Linked DNA regions of Elephas maximus indicus. The protein of the gene in region 2 purifies or fractionates together with the protein of the main gene of each other region. This does not show direct contact. Links are inferred from orthologs where the notes say so. Each region holds a gene or a part of one and is shown on either strand. Other genes may lie near its edges.

Region 1 (3,746 bases), on a different chromosome or scaffold from region 2:
ATGGAGAGACTATGTCTTACATACTTTGGACATGTTGTCAGGAGAGATCAGTGCTTGGAGGAGGACATCATGCTTGGCAAAATAGGGAGTCAATGAAAAAAAGGAAGACCCTCAACGAGATGGATTGACACAGTGGTTGTTGCAACAATGGGCTCAATCATAATGATTGTGGGCATGGCGCAGGACCAGGCAGTGTTTCTGTTGTGCACAGGTTCGCTATGAGTCCGAATCAACTTGACAGCACCTAACAACAACATTACCTCTGTTTTACAGAGGCAACAGCCATGGGGAGGTTATGTAATTTGTGCAAGGTTGCATGCATACTGGCCCTTAGGTATTCACACCCAGTTGATCTGGCTCCAAAGTTGGCATCCTTCACCACTGTACTATACTGTTCTCTATAGAGTTGGAACTCAGTAAATGTTGATAATGACAGTTACACTTAGTGAGTACATATTATGTACCAGGCTGTCTGTGCTAAATGCTTTATATGGATTATTCAACTCGACAATAACCCTATGAAGTAAACAACATCATTTTCCCATTTTACAAAACAGGAAACAGGTTTAGAGAAGTCTAGCAGTCTCCCCAAGGTCGCACAGCTAATTAGTGGCATAGCTTCATTCAAAACCATGCTCCTAATCACTGCACTACACCAAATGAGACCAGCAGTTCAGGAACGGATTGACGTCCAGTATGAAGACTAGAACATCATGGAGCAGATGACATCTGAAGTTCAGAGAACCTGAAACATAAGAGTTTAGAACTTCAGACACGGCACAGGCTGACCCACAACCCGGGGCAGAAACAGACCACCCCAGAAGCAGTGACCCAGAATCGCAGAGAAATAAAAATTGTTGTTAAACACACGGAAGTCCCTCCTCGGCCCATGCCCTTTCGCCCCCAGGGGCTCAGAAGTTGGTTGCCCGGAGGTGACTCAAAGGTCTTGAAGATAAGAGAACAGACCCTCAGGGATCCAGCTTTGACCACGACATCAAAGGGTTAATTCCGAACCTTTATCGCCAAGGTGCCGACTCCGATGAGGCAAGGGATAGGTTAACTGCCCCGGTGTGCCTCCCCCGCGGGGGCGGGACCACGGGGCGGTGCGCGGCGCGGAGCGGTGATCAGAGGGTTAACCGCCTCGGAGGTTCACCCGCGTGGGTGGGGTCTCGGGGCGCAGTGTGTCTTCCGCAGCTGCGACCGCAGTGTTAACCGCTGCGGAGGGGACCTCGCGGGTGCAGTGTCTCGGGGAGGGGCGCGGCGAGGAGAGGGTTAACCGCCCCCGGATGGCCCCGCCCGTGGGCGGGGGCGGTGCCTAGGGGCGGGGCGCGGGCTGGGGGCGGTGCTGGAGGCGGAAGCGGCCGGCTGTCTGCGCCCGGCGCGCATCTGCTGCCCTCGGATCTGCTCGTCCCGAGGGCCAGCTATTTACGGGGCTGGAAAATTGACCGAGGTTCGGAGGCGATGACCGGGATGCGGGAGGGCAAGGGGGACGGTGGGGGGTGCCCATGGAGAGGCCCAAAGGGAGCGAACTGGCGAGAGCCTCGAGATCTGATGAGGGATGAGGGCAGGGTGAGGAATGGGCCTTGGAGCCCTGGGGGAGCAGAGGAGGAGCAGACAGTGGGCAAACATGGGGCCAAAAGAGGGCGGATGAATGGATGGGGTGCCTGGGTGAGGTGAGGCGCCCCCGCCAGGATTTCGCGGTTCACATCTTCTCTTCCAACTCCGCTCCAGGTCAGCCCCGAATTGGAGCTCAACTTTAAGAAGAGAGACACCCCAGCAAGACTGGGGAGTCTCCCAACTCCTCACCTCCATGGGCCAGTCGGCCCTGGCAGGGGGCAGCAGCAGCACCCCTACCCCACAGACCCTGTACCCTGACCTCTCTTGTCCCGAGGGCTTGGAGGAGCTGCTGTCTGCGCCCGCTCCTGACCTGGGGGCCCAACGGCGCCACGGCTGGAACCCCAAGGACTGCTCAGAGAACATCGAGGTCAAGGAAGGGGGATTGTGCTTTGAGCGGCGGCCCGTGGCCCAGAGCACTGATGGGGCCCGGGGTAAGCGAGGCTACTCGAGGGGCCTGCACGCTTGGGAGATCAGCTGGCCCCCGGAGCAGAGGGGCACCCATGCCGTGGTGGGCGTGGCCACGGCCTTCGCCCCGCTGCAGGCTGACCACTATGCGGCGCTGCTGGGCAGCAACAGCGAGTCGTGGGGCTGGGACCTTGGGCGCGGAAAGCTGTACCATCAGAGCAAGGGGCCAGGGGCCCCCCAGTATCCAGCCGGCCCTCAGGGTGAACAGTTGGAGGTGCCAGAGAGGCTACTTGTGGTTCTGGACATGGAGGAGGGAACTCTGGGCTACGCTATTGGGGGCACCTACTTGGGGCCAGCCTTCCGCGGACTGAAGGGCAGGACCCTCTATCCGGCAGTAAGCGCTGTCTGGGGCCAGTGCCAGGTTCGCATCCGCTACCTGGGCGAAAAGAGAGGTGAGGCCTGGGGCAGGTGCTGGGAAGAGGGTTCTGTCACAGGTGGCAGTGAATTGGGATAGGAGCTCAACGTCTGACAAGAGGGTGGGCCTTCATCTGGGCTGCCTCCTATCCGTATTCCGCGCTAGGCTTGGCTAAGGGATGTTGCTTAATTTAATCCTCCCAAACAACAACGAGGTAAAACTGAGGCTTGAAAAAGCAACTTGCTCAAGTTCTCTTGGCTAGTAAGTGGTGAAACCTCAAAATGGAGGGAGTCGCTCCAGGGATTAGACTTTATAGGAAACGTCAGCCCCTGGAGCAAGAGATGCAAGGGTTAAATGGGGTTGGGAGAGGTGTACAGGTTCCAAAGGAAGAGAGGGCTGGCAAGGCCAGGCACCCAGGGTGTATACAGATTACCTGGGTTCTGACCCATCTTTGACGCATACCTACTTCCTTCCTCAGTAGAACCTCCAGAATGGAGCTGTGGGGCCCTGGGCACCAGGAAGGAGCACAGAGGAGGCAGGCCTTGGGGAGGAGCCTCCTTGGAGGCAAGGGCTTGGGACTGATCGAAGTTAGCCTTTCTCTGAGTTTGCAGTCTCCAGCAGAACTTAGATGCCTCTTCTCCCATCACCAGTGGCAAGCTTCTATAGGATGGAGGACCATCCTTCCTTTACATAGCCCCAGCTCCGAGGCACCTCAGGAATCAAAGCCTGGCTAGCTCCACCACTGTTGGAGCCACCTTGGCCTGTTGCTTTCAGGGCCTTAGCTAGAGCTTTATTACCAGCTCTGATTGGGAATGTGTGACATCTAGCTGTGATGCCCTACCCCCAAGAGCAGATGCAGAATTCTAGGGTGCCTTAGGTTTCCCTCTCAGTCAAAGTGGGAGCAAGTTTAGAGCAGGAAAGCAGAAGGGAACCTGGGCAGGGCCCTGTAGTTTGAAAATGTCTGGCTGGTGCTGCATCTCTACTTACCTTCCCCTCCTTCTCTCCCAGCGGAACCACACTCCCTGCTCCACCTGAGCCGCCTGTGTGTACGCCACTCCCTGGGGGATACCCGTCTTGGCCAGGTATCTGCTCTGCCCCTACCCCCTGCCATGAAGCGCTACCTGCTCTACCAGTGACCCCTGTGCTACCAGACAGTGCAGGGAGGCCTTGCCACCACCCACCCTGTGGAGGATGGGAAGCCGGGCATTGCTGGCCTAGACCAGCTACTTAAAACCAGTGAGGCTGGGGGAAGGTGAGGCTGGGCCCCTACCCCAACATTCCCAACGTTCTGGGGAGCTCAACCATCCCA
Region 2 (3,746 bases):
TTTTTTTTTTAGATAACTAGGATAGGTGGATAGGTGGGGAATCAGACCATTCCTGAGGCTCTCTGTAACTCAGCTTTTTTTATCTTTAAAATGGAGATGTTGTCTGCTTTGCTTGGGAAAACATAAAAATATGAAACAGTTAACATGGTTAGCTGCTAGCCAAAAGATTGGTGGTTTGAGTCCACCCAACGGTGCCTCAGAAGAAAGGCCTGGCAATCAACGTCTAAAAAACCAGGCGTTGAAAACCCTATGGAGCACAGTTCTACTCTGACACATATGGGGTCACTGATCAGTTGGAACTGATTAGACAGCAGATGGTTTTTGGTTTTAGCAGCAGAGCGACCCTGGTTTCAAAACTGTCACCATCACATAATAGCAACATGACCTTTAACTTACTTCACTTCTCTGGACTCATTATCCCTACATTAAAAAAAAAAAAAAGGTGTTAAGCTACATTATAGGGTTCTCAAAGTGTGGTCGAGGGTCCCTAAGATTCTTTCAGAATGCGAAGTGCAAACCTGTTTGCAAAATAATATTCAGAAGCTATTTCCATCTTTCACTCTTATTTTCTCCTGAGTGTACCGTTGTTGTTGGGTGTCCTCTAATGGTTTCCAACTCATACTGACCTGATGTGACAAGCAGAACGGCCCCACAGGGTATCCTTGGCTATAATCTTTATAAAGCAGGTTTTTCTACCGTGGAGCCACTGGAACCGACAACTTTCGGTTAGCAGCCCGGTCGCTTAAGTTTTCAAAAGGCTATATGATCATCACTCTAATAATATCTTGTAGTGGATTTATTACTGTTATTTTTAAACGAATAAATATATTTAATTTTTTTCTTAGTTTTAATTTCTTAAAAGTAGATAGATATAACTCACATTAAAAAAAAAAGGGGGGGGTGGGTCTTTAAGGTCCTAATAATTAAAGAGTGTAGAGGGATTCAGACGCCAAAAACTCTGAGAAGCAGCGAACCGGATTTCTAGAAGATCTTCAAGGTCATTTATTCACTCAACAAATAATTGTCAAGCGCCTACTATAAAAAAAAATTTTTTTTTTTTTTACTATGGCCAGGCATTTTTTAGACACCGAGGATATAAGCTGGTGATGAAGACTCCAGACATGGCCCCTGCTCTGATGTTTATTTTGGGAGACAAGCTTTGGAAAGTGGTCCGTTTAGTGAAGGCCTAAAACAGGGCACGTGGTTCCTGCAGTCTGTGCGCCTAACGTGACACGGTAACAATAGGACTGCCCGACCCCCCCCCCAGTCACCTGGCGGGCTCCCCCGCTGCCCCAGGGCGGGGAGGCGGGGACTAAGGCCCCACCCCCGCGCCGACGAAGAGTGACGTCACCAGACCTCGCCAGCCAATCGTGGGCGGCCCCGAGCGGAGGCCCGGAGTAGCCCACGGCCTGCGGGTGGCGCTGTGGCCCGTCGGGCGGCCCCACGGAGCCGCCATAGCAGTCCTCCTCCGGCGGCCCAACGTCTCCGCCGCCGGCTTCGCGCCGCGGTCATGGCCGACGTGGAAGACGGCGAGGATTCCGGCGTCCTCTCCTCTCACTCCGGGAGCGCAGGCTCCAAGTCGGGGGGCGACAAAATGTTCTCCCTCAAGAAGTGGAACGCGGTGGCCATGTGGAGCTGGGACGTGGAGTGCGATACGTGCGCCATCTGCAGGGTCCAGGTGATGGGTAAGCGCTGCACGCGAGACGCGGGCCGCGCTGCGGCCTCCGCGGGCGGCCGGGCGGGCCCGAGGCCTCGGAAAGACCCCTGCCGGCGTGGGCGGGGGTCGGCCTGCCCCGGGGCGGTGGGACCCGGGCCACGCCGGTGCGGCTGCTGGTCCCAGGACGGTGGTCGCCTTCTCTGGGGCTGCCGGGTCGTCCAGCAGGCGCCCAGCGCCGGGTGCGGGGTTGGGGGGAGTATTCTAGCGAGGGAGGCCGGCAGTCAGCGAGTGGAAGAACAAACAAAAGTCGTTTCAAGTGGTTGTTGTTAGTTGCAGTGGAGTCCATTCAGACTCGTGGCGACTTCATGTTTGCAGAGTAGAACTGCTCCATAGAGTTTTCCAGGCTGTGAGCTTTCGGAAGCAGATCGCCAGGCCTTTCTTCCGAGGCGCCTCTACGTGGGCTTGAACCGCCAAACTTTAGGCTTGTAGTCGAGGACCAGGAGAATAAAATCGGGTGACTTAATGGGAGCTGGGAGGAACCGCCTCGGTTTGTGTGCCCAGCCCCAGTCCCATCTCTAAAAGCAAAACCGGAAAGGGGTCAGGGTAAAGGCCCTGATTCAGGAGAACTTTGATGGTTCTGGTCACACACCAAAGTGATACTCTAGAGTCATCTTCCACGTGAGCAACGCCCTCCGTCCTGCTCCTGAGAAGCGCAGAAAAGAGAAGTCTTCCCAGACATTGCGTTTCCGGATGAGGGCGAGTCGGATGGAATCGTTCGGCATGAAGGGAATACAGTGTAGTTCAAGAATGTTCGTGTTTCATGGGAATTGAGGACTCTAAGTCCGCTCTTCAGGGACAGTGCTTCTACTCCAATAATAAATGCATGTGGGCTAGAGAGGGAAAACGTGACCTCTGCCCTCCCTTCGCGCCTCCCCCGCCCCATCGTAGAATGCCATTTCCGAGATGTGCCCCCCTCTGACTCATGCCTTTGTGGAAAATCTCTTTCAGAAATACGTCTTAACCTCTTTCTGTGACATGTTCAATAAAAATATTGGACCAAGGGAAACCTGCAACAACTTAATCCGGTTTTATTTTATATGGTTTCGGTTTTAAGGTCTTCGACTACCTTGCAGCAGAGGTGCTGTTTAAATTTAAATGCAAGTTACGTTTGTAAATAGGGCATTTAAAATTACTGTCATAGCACCTTAAATGTTTCTTCGGGGTAGGTGAAAAAATCTGAGGTTTCTATGGTTTGAAAACTGGCTTGTCCTGAAAATGAGAGAATTGGAGAAAATAACTTAAAATTTCTTTTCCTTCAAAAACAAAAAAGAGTAGAACATGGTTATGTTTAATACATAACCTCTATCCGACCAAAACATCACGGTGAAATAAAGGGGGAAAAACATATTTCATGTGCAGTGCATGACTATGAAAAGGTAAACATAAAAAAAAACGTACTTAATCATAAATGAGCTCTCAGAAACAAGTAACAAAAACCTCAATTTATGTCCTCTTTTTTTTTTAGTATGCGTTTTTTATTCATAAGGGCTTGTTTCGAAAAGAATTTACAACACTGGGAATCAAAATGTTACTTTTTACTTTTGAAAAAACTTGATTTTAGACATGATCTGCTTACTTGGATGTTGGATTTAAAAGCATCTAGCTTGTTTGCCTGGAACACCCCTTCACCCCCACCCCTCCCCGCAGATACACACCTTACGTACTAGAATCACAGCTTCCCGTTGAGGTGACATTTTTAACTGATCCAAGCAACTTACACATCTCATCTTTTACAGAACAAGCTTTGCTAAAAATTTTATCCCATAGGTTTCCACTAGGGTAAAAAGAATTTATCTCTAAAAAAGCTGTTTTTTCCCAGAAGAAATTTTTAAAAATAGCAAATGGAAATGGAGAAACCTAAAATAATCAAAGTGCAACAAATAAATTTTACTGGTCTTTTTATAGTAGGTCAAAGTATGGGTTATAAATGGCTCAAATTCATCGTTAACTTTCCAATTACAGCAAGTATTCCGCTACTGCAGGAGTGATGCTGAAGGTTTGTAACAGCTCTACTTCGGGTTCAGGGACG

Evidence for each region. The genes of interacting proteins can lie anywhere in the genome.
Region 1: the proteins of RNF7 (region 2) and SPSB2 purify together in Homo sapiens (co-immunoprecipitation; 3 studies listed by BioGRID and IntAct, with this or other methods). This does not show direct contact. The link is inferred for Elephas maximus indicus from reciprocal best matches to the Homo sapiens genes RNF7 and SPSB2.

What each region holds. Positions count from the first base shown.
Region 1 is NC_064822.1:63,670,647-63,674,392, reverse strand, and holds the start of SPSB2 (SPRY domain-containing SOCS box protein 2), read left to right. Parts: upstream 1-1,341; 5' UTR 1,342-1,450; intron 1,451-1,731; 5' UTR 1,732-1,810; coding exon 1,811-2,474; intron 2,475-3,445; coding exon 3,446-3,573; 3' UTR 3,574-3,746. UniProt on the Homo sapiens protein: Substrate recognition component of a SCF-like ECS (Elongin BC-CUL2/5-SOCS-box protein) E3 ubiquitin-protein ligase complex which mediates the ubiquitination and subsequent proteasomal degradation of target proteins.
Region 2 is NC_064841.1:17,959,023-17,962,768, reverse strand, and holds the start of RNF7 (RING-box protein 2), read left to right. Parts: upstream 1-1,403; 5' UTR 1,404-1,510; coding exon 1,511-1,685; intron 1,686-3,746. UniProt on the Homo sapiens protein: Catalytic component of multiple cullin-5-RING E3 ubiquitin-protein ligase complexes (ECS complexes), which mediate the ubiquitination and subsequent proteasomal degradation of target proteins.